Caenorhabditis elegans: one gene and its partners. The protein of the gene in region 1 interacts with the protein of each later gene in a pairwise test. Each region holds a gene or a part of one and is shown on either strand. Other genes may lie near its edges. The genes, in order: ubc-25, erp-44.1 and chn-1.

What was found.
Region 2: the proteins of ubc-25 (region 1) and erp-44.1 interact in a two-hybrid assay, tested with the Caenorhabditis elegans proteins (one study listed by BioGRID).
Region 3: the proteins of ubc-25 (region 1) and chn-1 come close enough for resonance energy transfer, tested with the Caenorhabditis elegans proteins (one study listed by BioGRID).

Annotation. Positions count from the first base shown.
Region 1 is NC_003279.8:10,561,174-10,565,512, reverse strand, and holds ubc-25 (Ubiquitin-conjugating enzyme E2 25), read right to left. Parts: upstream 2,544-4,339; 5' UTR 2,524-2,543; coding exon 2,446-2,523; intron 2,403-2,445; coding exon 2,067-2,402; intron 2,014-2,066; coding exon 1,522-2,013; intron 1,470-1,521; coding exon 1,317-1,469; intron 1,265-1,316; coding exon 1,160-1,264; 3' UTR 610-1,159; downstream 1-609. UniProt on the Caenorhabditis elegans protein: Catalyzes the covalent attachment of ubiquitin to other proteins. Required for the maintenance of neuromuscular function.
Region 2 is NC_003279.8:5,416,562-5,422,325, forward strand, and holds erp-44.1 (Thioredoxin domain-containing protein), read right to left. Parts: upstream 4,132-5,764; coding exon 4,080-4,131; intron 3,541-4,079; coding exon 3,445-3,540; intron 3,394-3,444; coding exon 3,244-3,393; intron 3,199-3,243; coding exon 3,114-3,198; intron 2,744-3,113; coding exon 2,641-2,743; intron 2,550-2,640; coding exon 2,302-2,549; intron 1,869-2,301; coding exon 1,693-1,868; intron 1,648-1,692; coding exon 1,509-1,647; intron 1,463-1,508; coding exon 1,378-1,462; intron 646-1,377; coding exon 544-645; downstream 1-543. Other genes in the region: utp-14 (Small-subunit processome), read right to left, coding at 4,947-4,997.
Region 3 is NC_003279.8:6,180,699-6,185,479, reverse strand, and holds chn-1 (E3 ubiquitin-protein ligase CHIP), read left to right. Parts: upstream 1-1,623; 5' UTR 1,624-1,633; coding exon 1,634-1,692; intron 1,693-1,738; coding exon 1,739-1,829; intron 1,830-1,882; coding exon 1,883-1,951; intron 1,952-1,999; coding exon 2,000-2,098; intron 2,099-2,145; coding exon 2,146-2,352; intron 2,353-2,573; coding exon 2,574-2,786; intron 2,787-3,781; coding exon 3,782-3,844; 3' UTR 3,845-4,166; downstream 4,167-4,781. Other genes in the region: GPI mannosyltransferase pigv-1, read right to left, coding at 1-17; T09B4.2 (Torsin-1B), read right to left, coding at 245-335, 401-614, 723-1,026, 1,073-1,393; putative mitochondrial import inner membrane translocase subunit tin-44, read left to right, coding at 4,640-4,721, 4,770-4,781.

The DNA of each region.
Region 1 (4,339 bases):
ATTCATGTTTATTATCCAAGTTTTTGTTTTGTGATTTAGTATATTATTCTAATTTGTGACACATTTATAACTGCTCAGAAGAGCAGGCCACTACGGCTCCAAAATTCATTGGCTCCGTGCGGTCATCAAGTCATTAGAGGACTGCTTCACGCTCGCGACCTGCCCGTCTCCCTTTCATCGCAGTTGGCATCTCTACCAATTTGATGGGAATTACGAGATACATACTGCAGAAATGATTCTGTATAGTATGGTCTCGATGAAAGCAGCGCTGGTCTTCGAGGTGACAGAGCGCGGCGGCCGACACATCACGGGTTCCGCTCGCTTCCAAGTTGGACGTGAGTGCCGGCCACGCCCATGTATTGGAATCAAAGAGAAAGAGAGCCGAGACAGCTGAGAGCATTGGAATTGAAATTTTTAGTCTTCGAATAATAAAACAACCTTAAAAACGCTTTCTATTATAAATAATTGTTTTTAAAAATTTTAAATAAGTGAATTTCATTTTTCCTGATAAAACGCGAGTTTCAAAACAGCTCACTTTTGGACAATTGGCTTTAGCCGAGACTAAAACCGTTTCCAAATAAACACCAAAAAAGCCAATCCACACATGTTCATAGGAACAGACACTTCATTTTCAGGAAATATACATCGTGAGGAAGACCAAAAATGAGGTTTACATTGTAAAAAAAGATTACGAGTGGTCTTAGTTCAGACGTCTGGACAGTTTTTGGTATAGGAGAAAGGAAGCTAAAAACTATACAAAAAAACGAAATGAGGGGAATGCGTTCGTTTCTTGGAACATGTTGGGTTTGTGAACACTCCATCGCGTGAAACTCGAAATTTCAGATGATTTACACATGTTTAGTTCTATTTAAGAATGGAGGTATTAATTGGAAGGGGATGGGGGGTGGTTGTAGTTGAGGGATGAGGAAGCGGGTGAAGAATGGATGATGTAAATGTCTAGAAAATGAATATAAAACGAGAGAAGAGATGTACCCGCGGAATGAAAGTTTGAAAAAGGTAAACGTTTCCGATTTTAAAAAACCATTGAAAAAAAAATCGTCACTGTGAAGAAAAAATACCAAGTGGAGAGCGAAAAAGTGAGAGGAGGGTGTGGAACATAAAAAAGTACTGGATGACATGAAGATCTTTGAATTGGGAGTTATCCTTCTGTTTTTGGAGGTGTGTACCATCCAGATTTCGCATGAATTTGCTGGAGGGACTTGAATGATTGCTGAGCACGAGCCATTGAATACGTCGATGTGTGCTGAAATATAAGATTAGAGTTTTCATTTAAAAACATTAAATTTTCAAATTACCTTTGCGTCAAACGAAATTCGAGCACGGCCTTTTACCAAGGTAGCAGCAATTTGAAGAATGCAACTCTCAATAGAGTAAGCTGATGACCATCCTTGTTTTGTTAGAAGTTCCATGCATATTGCGCCGCCACCCAATACGAATCCTTGATTGATCTAAATAGGATAATATAAGTTTCAATAAAAATATTCAAAGTTAGAGACTCACATGTGGAGCAACAACTCTGACGAACGGTGGATCACAAGGGAACTTCTCATTGAACGTGAAGCTGAACAACAAATGATCCTGGTTATGATCCTTCTTCAACTTTTTCATGTCTTCGAACAATGGTGAATCCTCATCAACTTTGTGCAACTTGATCCACCATTGATATAAATTCTCTTCCTTTTCCAGTTCAAACGTATAAATTCCATTTTTAAAGTGCTCACTTCGGTGAATATCGCGAATCTCTTTCATCAAACGATCTGTAGCTGTGATTGAACCTTGAACTTTCCCATCCAAATGCTGCTGTCTATTAATTTTTGAAACTTTGTCGAGCATATCGAGACCTTCTTTCGAAACTCCAACATCGTGTTGAGATGTTGGATCTTCTTCAGCCATCTCTACTATTTCGATGTCACCGTCCGCATCTTCATCGTCTTCTTCCTCTTCATCATCATCGTCAACTTCTCCATCTCCAGCCATGTCGTCGTCGATTGGCTGAAAATTGTTTTTGATGTTAAAAACGAAAAACTGAATTAAAACTAAATTACCTCAGATGTGGTATCACTAATATCACTTCCACGACCTTCATCGATATCATCCCTGACAGGTGGAGCAATTTGAGGTAATTCACATGGCATTTGGAGGTTGTAGAAAGAGCAGAGATCGGATACCAATCGATGAACTTGGTGCAAAATGTTCGTCGACTCTTCAGTTTCGGTGAGCCGTTGAAGAGACATTCCGATGACTGGAACGTCATCAGATTCGGAAAACCAGATTGGCGGTTGACGTGGATAATTCTCTTGAATGTTAGCTGTCACAATAATTCCCTTGTTTTCAGCATTAATGAATTTCATCGATAGCTCATCAACCGAGGCAGACAGTATCTGAAATTTAAAACTAGAAAACTGATAAGAACGTTCAATATACCTGAAAGCGATTGTGATTTTTCGGAAATAGTTTTTCCAGAACCTGAATGTCTTCTTTTAGTTTTCGAAGACACGCCATCCTCTTCTGATTTTCGCTACCTGAAAATATGCGAGTATAGTCGTAAAATTAAGTTTTTAAATGCAATTTTAACGATTTGAAAAAGATAAGCCACCAGTTTTCCCAAGCATACTGTTTCTTTCTTTCTATTGTTTCGAAATATTTATAAAGATATATAGCAATTTTCGAAACATGTGAAAGATTGCGATTCACGACCGCCCTGTCAACGAGAGCGTGGACCGAGAATCGATCGATACTTCGGAGGAGAGACGACAACAGGCTGGAAGATAGTGTACTCAAGATGCGAAACGTAGACGGTTAGACAACCGAATGAAAGGCACCAGCCAGTGAGAAACTCGTCTTGGCACGGGCACACTTGGGGAAAGATATGAGAGGTTGAGAGAATTAGAGACAATAAGAAGAGAAATAGACGCAGGTGGAGTGAGAAGTTACGTGATTAATAGAGATAACGAGATAAATAACAATGATCTTTATTCTGTGAGTTCCTGATTAAAAAGTTCAATGAGACAGCTGAAATTCAGTTTGTTATCGATTAATGAAATAAAAAGATTTCGAATACTAAATTTAGAATTTTAAACGATAAGTTTACGTTTATCAGTAAACAAAATATAAAACTGAACTGATAACACATACTATACGAATCAATATAAGGAATATTTGAACTTTACTAAAAAATTCTGATTTTTGAAAAGAAGAAATACAATCGATGCTTTGATGATGCCAGAGACCGCAGTGGGGTAAGAAAAGAATAAGAAAGAGTGGGCAAATAGTGAAATATAAAAATTGTCGCATTGAGAGAAAAAAAGACAAATGAAATGATGTAGAGGGGAGAAAATGGAACATCCTAATGGACGCTCTTGCAGAATAGCTCACACTGATCGGCAGCGCGTTGTTTATCGATCGGCACAGTGTGGGAAAATAATACAATTGAGCAGGTGACATTTCCCCCCGACAGTCCCATTCAATACAAACGTATATTTCATACAAGAAATCAATATTTCAATTTTTGAGAAAGAAAAGCGAATTAAAGTTCGAAAAAATTACATTTAAATCAATATTCTGTTAACGAATATGGCCTAGAAGTTGCGTGGTGGCCTAGGATTCATTTGAGCGCGAAATTCAAATTCAGCCACTTTCGTCGATTTCAACGGCAAAATGCTTAATGTTAACGGATTTTTTCCGTTTTTCTTTTGCAATAATTGGAAGTTTGAGTACAAATACTACATTTTAAAACAATTTCCCCATTGACGATACTCCTTCTTTAAATATTGATGAAAAACAGGTGGTTCTTGTTTACCACTATAAATGACCATCAACTTATCATATCAGATGACCCAACAAAGAGAGGAAGAGGCAGCAGACTGAAAACAGCACCTAGTTTTTGGAACCTAACCAAAAGTAGAAGTACTAGACAACAAGTACTTTGTATATATGTTCGAAAGTACAATTTTCTTTGTTACGACATTCAGAAACACGTAAAGCCCATAAAAAGAAACCTGTTTTGAGTGGCGGAGATGAAACACGCACGGAAAGTGCAATCTGATCAATGTGGCTGCGGGAATTGAGACGAGATACATAGAGCAAAAATGAGGGTTACAGGATCTAGAAAATGAAAGAAAGCTTGAAACGAGCTCGTTATCTTGTTATTTGGAATTGTAGGTGGGAAAGGAACATTGAGCATTATGCAAAGCTTAAAAATTTCACCAAGTGAAATGCATAGCTTTCTCATGTAGAGCAAAAAAAGTGGATGAAAAGTTTTTCACAGCCCGGCACTCAGGCCCACGCAGGCCCGCACACGTCTTGGACGAATCGACCG
Region 2 (5,764 bases), 5.1 Mb from region 1:
GTGAAAAATTTGGTCAATCACCTTTGACAAGTAGATGAATCGGATTGAATCCATTTAACCGCCAAAACAAAAAGGTTATTGAAGAAATAGAAAGAATAAATATATTCATTCGTTTCTGTTAACATTGTTGATTGTTTTTGAATTTAAGATTCAAAAAATTTTTGAAATAAAATTGAATCTAAAAACAAAAAAAAGACAGGGATAGAGACATGGGAAAACGAAGAATAAAACCGCGCATCACAGACAGGAATTGACTAAAACTTTCAGAGAGATGAATAGGAAAGAAATGGATTTTGATTGGCAAAAGAACAACAATCCGATGGAATAACATAGTAATGTATAGTTTTTTGTGGAAATCGGGGATTAAATAGTTGTGTGTGGGGGGACCTCGTAGAAACCAAGAAATAAAACCAAAACCAATGGAAAATTGACCGAATAAAACTGAAAATTAAAAAAAAAGAACACCAGAGAAATGCAAAACAAGGCCATGTTGCAATTGTGATATAAAGCTCTGTTATAAACAAAAATGAAAAATCAAAGAAATTAAAGTTCCGTTTTGTCAAGAATTGTGTATCTCGAAGAAGCAGGCTTCAACTTCTCGAATGTAGACGGTGGTGGCTCAGTGTCCGGTGCTTGATTTCCAGTCTGAAATGTCTTACGAAAATTGTAAATATGGTCTTTGGAAATAAGTACTGCAATTTTTTCAATAAAAATACGGTACCGAATCTCGAAAAGGCAAATTTTTGAAAAATACAAAAGGTGCGCGCCTTTAAAGAGTACTGTAATTTCAAGATTTATTTTTTCTTGAATTTTTTATTGACTTTTCGATCAGAAAAGGAAATTTATTTTAAAAAAAAATCAGATATAACAATAATTTTTTAATAATTTTTTTCAAATCGAGAAAAAAAAAGAAAAATCAATAAAAAACCGCAGCAACTAATTTTAAATTACAGTAATCTTTAAAGGCGCATACCTTTTCACATTTGACAAAAATTTGTCGTTTCGAGACCCGTTTACCGTATTTTTGACGGAAAAAGCACAACATTTCGCGTCTGGGAAAAATATTTAGAAAAAATCATCCCAACCATAATTTTTTTTAAATCTTCTAATAATTCGGAGTTTTTTTTTCAATTTTCAGTTAAAGCTTCATTTATTTTGTTTTTTTTTCATAGAAAATTCCCAATTTGAGGGATTTTCCGTCCTGAAAATCTCATGAAATTTGTAATTTTACATTTTTCAAGGATTTTTAGAGACTTTTTTAAAGGTGGTATAGAAAAAAGTCTGGTTCAGATAATAAAAAAAAATTCGTTTACTAACTTTTCAATAAATTTCATAAAAATTTCAAAAACCAAAAAACTCCCAAAAAGTGACACTTACCACTGGATCTGGACCATGGTGGAATTCGCGATGAAGCTTTCCGCTGTGCAGATCGAGCACGAATTCGCGGAGTTTTCCGGGGACGCTGAAATAATTTTGTTTGTTTATATAATCCATTTTCCAGATCTTACTTGACATCTTCGAAATTCTTGAATAAATACATATGTCGGAAAGAATCAATTGCAATGACTGGAAGATCGGATTCCGATTTACCCAAGTGACTGAGTGGATGCTTGAAGATTGTTCCATCACCGACCAAGCAGTTAATTGCTGAAATTATTCATTTTAAAATCTAAAAAAACTCGAATAAAATACCTTTTCTCTGATCAGGAAGTTCTCGAACAATTGCATCAGTGAAGATCTTCTCACTGACTTTATCATCAGATTTCTTGAAAAGAATCATAAATGGAAGTCCTTCTTCAGTCAATTCTTCTGCATTTTGGAATGTGATTTCACGAACTAATGGCACACATTTGTCAGCAACCCATTGTCTGAAAATTTAATTTTACAATAATTATTTTTTTTACAGTCTCCTCGGCTCGAAATTGGTTCCTTGCCCCTTTTTAAATTTTATCGAGTTTTTTTTTGTCGAAAATTGGTTAACCTTTGTTTTTTCTTAACAAAAAAAAAGTTTTAATATTTTGAAACATGAGATATTTTTTAAAGATATTTTTTTGTATTTTTAAAAAAGATTTGTGAAGAAATTAAATTATTTTTAACCCAAAAAACCGAACAGAAAATGTTTTTTTTTGGTGATAGCTCTTTTTTAGAACGCGTGGGAATTTAAGAAATCACCGAAAAAGCTTAAATTTGGGTTTTTTCTTCAGCTTTTCATTTTTTCAGGTTCAATGTGAGAATATTTTTCAAGTAAGACAAACTACCATTGCGATGAGAAAAACTAAATTTTTCATAACTTTTACTAACTTGAGATATTCATAAGTGGCAAAATCTCCAGAGAATGGAATCTGTGCTGGATTCACAGCCTTATTAGATGGCTGGAAAACGAGTTTCGGTGGTTGACCAGCAGCCGGTGCCTCTCCAGGGAAGTTCAAATCTCCGATTCCAACCATAAATTCACATTCATCACGATAAAACATTGCCACGTTCATGAGATTCTTGTACTCGACACTGTTTTCATCATGGAAATATCCAATAAATGTGTTCTTTTCTGGCTGAAAAATATACTTTTTTAGTTTTGAAACCTTCTTTTTGCCACAATAGAAAATTTATTTTGGTTTTTCAAATATTTTCAGTGAAACTCACATTATGCGCAGCTTGAAGTGCATTTTTCTCAATAAACTTCTTCACTGTAACTTCCATTTGTTTATTGATGAATTCGCTAAGAGCCTCCACGGATCGGGAACTTCTGAAATTCAAAATTTAAAATAATTTTTTTGAAAAAAATAAGTGTATCGTCAATAAAAAAAGTTGTGTAAAATTGCAGCCTATAGTGCTAAAATGTCCTAATATCATAGTAAAACAAATTTTTGAAATATCTTAATTTTTAGTTTCACATATTATAATTTTGGAATTTGACCAAAAAAAATTTTCTCAGAGTGTAGAGGTGTAGAGGAGGAGAAGGAGGAGGTGTAGAGGTTAGAACTCTGCACATTTATTAAAAGTTCGACAGTTTGCCAAATCTTTATAAGAAAATTTTTGAACAAAATTATAAATTTTTATATATTTTTATTAACTTTAAATTTAAAAAAAAAACAAATTAAAATTAAGCAACTAACCTGTACTCTCTTTTCGCGGCTTCTCCATTTCTGAACAACTTCAGAGTTGGATATTTATTAACATGATATTTTGTGGCAATGTCGTCTGAATTTCATAAAAATAAATGAATTATTCCAATTTATTACTCACTGTTCTTATCAGCATCCACTGAAGCCCACATAATCTTGCCCGGAGCCGCATCTTTGAACTTTTCCGAAGCTTCCAAGAAAATGGGTTTCAACATCTGCGAGAAGCGGCACCAATCTGCGTAGAAATTCACGAAAACGAGTTCATTTGCTTCTGAAACATGATAATTAGCATATTTTCCATAGATAGTTGAAGACAGCTCACGAATAGTTTGCTCGAAGTTTTGTGATGTCAATGAAACAACTTCAGCATTCAGTAGAGCCGGACAGAATAGAAGTAGGGATAACCACCGCAGCATTTCTGAAATTTTTGTTATTCGATTTGAGAATTTATAGGGAATTTAAAAATGTTTAAGGCAAATGTTAAGAACATTTAAATGATTTTCCAGCTGTAAAAAGTATGCTTATCAACCGATCTATAGGAAAACAAAAAGTTCAAGAGTTTCTTGATTGGTCTGTTTCAAAACGAATGTTTTTGATTGGTTGTAAACGCATATTCATCATCAGTTAGTTTAGTGCGGAAAATGGCGTTTTGCAGGGTTTAGAAAGGGTAAGACGTTGTAAAACATTTCTCAAAACATAAAAATCAATGTCTGAATGCAGCATATTCAAATTTAAAAGAACGGCAAAAGACACGTGTACTTTTTGGCCAGCATTGGTCACACAAACCGCCCGGGGTATTAAAAATAGTGGAAAAAGTGTTGAATTATAAGAGACACAGACGCTGAATCAGAAGAGGCGCAGGGTGAGTGAGTGAGCACACGGAAAAGAGCAAACGAAAAGTGGAGAAAAAGCTGACTGGCGATGAGAATTGGGCGTGGATGGGGCAGCTTTACAAACGATTTTTCATGAGAATACTGTGTGCTTGTATCTCTCTGAGAGCATGTGCCATTCCGTGCTGATCACCGAGATTCACTTCTTCTTTCAAAACCGAAAAATATAAATTTTTGTTCGAATTTAAAAAAATCAAAACCTTTTTTTTTTGGTTAAAACTGAACATCGAAAAAAAAAACGTTTTGGGGTTTATTTTCTCAAAAATAGTGAAGGTGCAGGTTCTTGTGAGAAATTTGTCAGAAAAACTTGTTGTTGCAGTGTTTTCAGATTTTTTTAAACCAAATTTTTCGTTTATTAAAAAATTGAAGTATGGAAAATTTTTTTTTCAAAATCTTTAGTGGTTTTTAACCGACAAAAAATGTTTTTAAAAATAAAAAAAAACAATTCTAGAAAATATCTGGAAAAATGAAGAATAGTTCAATATTTAATGTTGATTTTAATGAGACATGATTAAATAGAGAAATACCCTAAAAAATTAAATTTTAAATACTTTCGAAAGCGAAAAGCAGACATTTTTTTGAGATTTTTATTTCAAAATTTCAAAACTTTGGGTTTCGTTGCCAACTTTTTCAAAATATTATTTTAACAACAAAAATTATATTTTCAAATTTCAAATAAATTGCTGGGGATATCCACCATAACGAAAAAACTGATTATAATTGAATTATTTTTTAAAAAATTTGTTTTTCATTTAAAGAATTACAGGAAATGTAAAATTGAGAAAATAATGAGAAAATGGTCTCAATTAAACTTTCACCGTAAAGAAAACATATAAAATTAACAACAACGAACATTTCAGGTGACACTTCAAAGAGAGAAAACCAACAATAAAGTTTTTTTAAAAAATCAACAAAAAATTAACAATTCTTCCAATTATTCTCCGAGTAGATGCTTCTTGTTGATTGGACGAATAGCTCTTCCAGCCTGAAAATATAAATATTATAAATAGAGAAATTTTATTCAAAATTTGTGTCTAGTAACTCATGAGGGGAAAAATGTGAAAATAGTTGGAGAAAAGAAGTAAGAGAAGGAGAAGAAGAGCATTTCACAGCTGAGTGAGGAAAAGCTGTCCCTAGAAGCAACACACACATCATCGATTTTCTTTCGAGCTTCAACAATGTTTTGAAACATTTCAAGTTCTTATCAATGTAATAGGAACGTGTGAAAACCCAGCAGAATGTACGGCGCCGAACGATGATTTTGAATTACTTTCAGTCAACAACTCGATTAGTTTTAGTGACTCGTCATGGTGTAAACATATATTTGATGTTTTTATTTCTTTCTAAATAGATTCTAACAATTTTCAATTGCAAGTTTTGTTGGTTGATTTCAAATAATTCCAATATTTATGATTACTGTAATGGTTTTTTGGAAGAGGAGACAAGATTTGCTGTAACACAGGGATTACTGTAACTAAAACGTCTAGAAAATTGCTCCTCTTCAATGATAATCTTTAGAAGTTTTCTTGCTATTTTTAAAAGTTATTCAAATTTCCTCGCTAGCTCACTGATCTTCTTCAATTAATACAGGTGTGAGCCAATCCAAATATGTATTCTCTTGTCAATCATTTTTCGTCATTCTTTCTCCGATCTATATGAACACCCACCAACCTCTACACAAAAAGATGACCTGCACCCGTTTGGGAGCATTCGGTTTCCTGCGTCTCATTCTAACCAACATACACAATCTAT
Region 3 (4,781 bases), 4.4 Mb from region 1:
GGCTCACGTCTACGCATCCTGTATTAATCATTTTAGAAAACAGATCAATAAAAAAATAAAATAGTGACAGCATTTTTAAAGCGAATATACGAGATTTATACGAACATGTAAAACTTTTACTATTTTTATTCAATGAACACAGAATTCCTTGAACTATTTAGCTGATCTTGTAAAACCTTGGATTAAATTACAGAATTAAAAAATAAAAACCCGTGAAAAATGAAGGTAATGTACCGGCAAAATTTTAAACACATAAAAAATAAGAAATTCGTGCAATAATCGGTGGAATGTTGTCTGAAGAGCCGCCGTTCTCAATCCAGCGTTTCGTTAGAAATCTGTAAGTGCGAAAATTGTAGATCAAAAAATTTCTTAACTATTTTGATCTACAAAAACCACTTACTGGACCATTTTCTCATCACAACTTGTGTTGGCAATGTCCATCGTTGAATCTTGTTGTGAAGAAACAGTCAGAAAAAGTATTGTTTTGGGAACTGGATATTTTCCGTGATCTGAGAACGCATGAAGAACAAGAACTGCATCCCATTTTAGCAGGTCTACATCCAAAATCACAGCTGTTCGAGGTGATGATTGTGAAATAAGAGCGGGTCCGAGGACTGAAATAATGCATTATATTTTCAAAATTCAGCGAATTTTCACATTACTTTGGAGATGTTAAAAAGTTATTTAAACATAAAATATTATGAGGTTCTGAAATCACTCACTTTCCTGCAAATTCGCATGCAACTCGGCTCTATCAGTGTCACTTTCCACTCTAATTGATGATTTTCCTGCCGTAGTATGCTCATCACTTTTAGCATCTTGAACAGCTCGATTCACAGCTTCGGCAATTTGTTTGGCCGGTGTTCCCCCAACAAGAACAACCAACGGAGCATGATTTTCTGGTTCCAAATAGATTTTCTGCCCGATTAGTCTTAAGAGATCCCGATTTTCTTTCGAAATTGTAGGAAACTCGTTCTTGATGACAGATCGGACTGATTTGATGTAACTTTCATACGATTCGTTAGTCTAGAAAATTGTTAATTATTCCGATACCGCGTGTAGTTTTACCAACCGTAACTTTGCTTCCTTTAATCAATGCTCCCACAACAATCGCAATGAAAACTATTCCAATAACAGTCCAGTATTTCCATTTTTCATTCACTTCGTTACATGACACATCGGATTCTTCTGATCCATGTGAGCTACTGAAACTCAAATCCGCATCTGTGAAATCATTTTCATCTTGTTGCTCGCTAGTCTTTTCGGTTCTTGCATTACTTATTTGTTCAGTTAGATCAGGATAAAGCCTTGATGAACTATCGAGACTCCTACGTTTATTCGATGTTGGTATGTAATTGGATGGAGTTCCATATGATTTTCTGGTTTGCACCATACCCTGAACTAAAACGAAAATTGGAGCAGAATTTGAAAAAAAAAAATTAAACTGTTAAAAAAAAACATAAATATAAAAAATTGCGGCAAAAAACAAATTTTGGCTTGGAGCGAGTACACCGCAAACACCGCAAGCTTAATTTGCACACAATGCGTCAGAGCTTACGCGCAACTCTATCCGCATCATGCTTTTCAAAATCGATTTTTAGAACAATTTCCGCTTATTTTCAGCGTTTGCAGCATGTCAAGCGGCGCCGAACAACATAATACTAATGGCAAAAAGTGTTATATGAATAAAAGGTATTTTCATTTATGTGTAATAAATCCCATGTCTTTGAACTTTCAGATATGACGATGCCGTTGATCACTATTCGAAAGCCATCAAAGTAAATCCTCTGCCGAAATACTATCAGAACAGAGCAATGTGTTACTTTCAGGTATTTATACTTCGATTAAAACTTTTCTTTAACTTTTGTAATATATATTCTAGCTTAACAACCTCAAGATGACTGAAGAAGACTGCAAACGGGCACTGGAACTGAGCCCAAACGAAGTGAAAGTAAGCTTTCAACTCTTGAAGTTAATTAGTTATTCAATTCATTTTCAGCCTTTATACTTCTTGGGAAATGTATTTCTACAGAGCAAAAAGTACAGTGAAGCAATAAGCTGTCTCTCCAAAGCGCTCTACCATAATGCTGTTATCACGGTAGAAATTTTTGAACGGCGTTTATTAAAACGGAATTGTGGTTTCAGAACGCTCCAGATATTGAGAACGCCCTCAAACGGGCACGCCATCAAAAGTACGAGGAGGAGGAGTCAAAGCGAATTGTACAAGACGTTGAATTTCACACGTATTTGGAGAGCTTGATCGAAAAGGATCGTCAAGAAAATTCTGAAAACCCAGAGGAGTTGCAAAGAGCAGATATGGCTAAAAAACGTCTAACCGAACTCACTTTAGCGGTAAATACTTTTTCTTGAAAGTTTTTTGAAACTTTAGTAATACTATTCCCAAATTCTTATATCTAAGCGTTTCTAATTCGAACCAAACGAGTTTCCGAATCCTGCCAACTTTTTTCAACCGGTTCAAAATATACTTTCAGAATTAAGCATACTAAACTATCGTGAGTGTAATATTTCCTAAATCACGAGAGATCAAAGAGAATCAAAATATCATTTTTTAGACACAAGAAAAACGGCAAAACAGGGAGGTTCCTGAGATGCTCTGCGGCAAAATTACACTGGAACTGATGAAAGAGCCGGTGATAGTTCCATCTGGAATCACGTATGACCGAGAAGAAATTGTGCAGCATTTGAGAAGAATTGGCCATTTCGATCCAGTCACAAGAAAACCACTTACCGAAAATGAAATTATTCCGAATTATGCACTGAAAGAGGTTGGAAATTTATACAGGGTGGGCCAAAAGTATGGTAACACGTTTGCAGCTCTATAACTTTACTAGTGGAAAGAGTTACTACATCAATTGTTACAAGTTTTGTTCTCCATAAAATACTGACCAGATGAACGTTTTGAATTTTCAAAATATTCCCATCCGCATCGCTGCAGGCCTTCAGAACTTTTGAGATCACGACCTTTATGGCACGCAAGTCGGCATTCTGCGGGATTTCTACATTTTTCTCGAGGAATCCATCAAGTGCCTTACAAGTTTTTATAGTTCAAAGAATGCTCTTGGTCTAGAGATTCTATAAAAACAAAAATCCAAATAATTTCTATCACGGTATTTCTGTCATGGACTGCGGCAGTAGGTTAAGTCTTGAATGGCATAGTCGCCAGAAAGATGGATGTGAGCGGCGAGTAGCAGTATGCAGAAAAATTCATTTTAGTATTTTTCGAGACGTTTTGACCTGACTTTCCAGAATTTTTTTAGAAAATTGAGCTCGGATGATTTTGTGGGACGTTACGCCTTGCGAAACCAAAAAAACTGAGTAAATTTCGCAAAGTTGAATTCATGAAATATTCAAAGGTTCTTGCTAGGCGCCAGTGTCGACACAGAAAATTTTTATATGCCACAAAAACAATTAAAAACGCTTCTTCACTTCTTTAACTTTAAATTTAACATAAAAATCATACATCTGAAAATTATTGGCGTGCATGGGAGGTGTGTTTGTGTGGGAAGTGCCGCGTGCCAAATTACCGTTTTTTCGAAAGGGTTCGCCAAATTGTCGAGGTGATAAAGATCGCACCTTATTGGGAAACATTACAAATTTTGAGTCAAATTGAAGGAAATTTATTCAGCTATCAGTATTCGATAGAAGAATGTACGTATGACGTGGCAGTCACGCGAAAAGCTCATGTAAAAGAGCGCTTCATGTGTTACCATACTTTTGGCCCACCCTGTAATAAATTCAGTTAATTTCTAATGATTTTCAGGTTATTGAAAAGTTTCTTGACGACAACCCATGGGCTAAATATGAACCCGGAGGCATGGTTTAAATACTATTCAGAATATTGAAAAATTCAACATTAAACATTCCTGGCTGCTTCTCAATGCAACTTCTTCACTTTTCTACATGTTTCAGTTCTTTGCATTTTTTTTTCGGATTTTTAAACTTTTATTGTTTGAACGCTGTACCCTCCTTTTCTGTTCTACCGGTATTTGTATCTTGGTGTATTTTTTAGCTTTAGTTTTCTTTCAAAATTCCATTGAATTTCTGGTAGAAAGTGCACTTCAACTTGTCGCTTAGTTCTCAATTTTACTGCTAAAAGTGAGATTCTGTAAATATTGTATGAAATAAAGAGGTGTGATGCTTTTCTTTTCATTTTACAATTTTTTTTATACCAATAGGAAGGTCTATAACCTACTATCTACGTGACTTTGTAAATAAAATAAATAAAATCGGGAAGTTTTCAAAATTGCATCACTGGGAGTGCGGGATTGCGGAGTGTCGTTGTGAAATTTAGACGGCATTTTTTTCCGTTTTTTCAATTTCGAAGCTGTTTAAGCTGAATTCTGTTCGAAAATTTGTTGAAATAAAATGCAAAAAAGAATTTTTGTTCACAAAAAATGGTTATTTTCATTCTCCGGGCATTATTATTTTTGTTTGCAGAGTTTTAGAATAACTGTTTAAAAATCCTTGATGTTTAGATCTGAAAAGCTTTCAATGGTTCAGAAGAAATTATAATTAAACCGAAATTAATTAATTAAATTTATTATTTGAATATTTCCCGCACAAGTTCCATTCTTGCCTCTTCTTTATTGAACTTATAATGTGAAAAATTATTCTTCAGATGTTGTCACGAATTTGTGGAAACGGGATACGATTAACTCGGACAAGACTTCAATTTCAGCCATCTATTGTTACTTTCAGAGGTAGGCAATGTCTATAGGTTTTCATTTCTAACTATTTCCAACTTTCAGACTACAGTAATC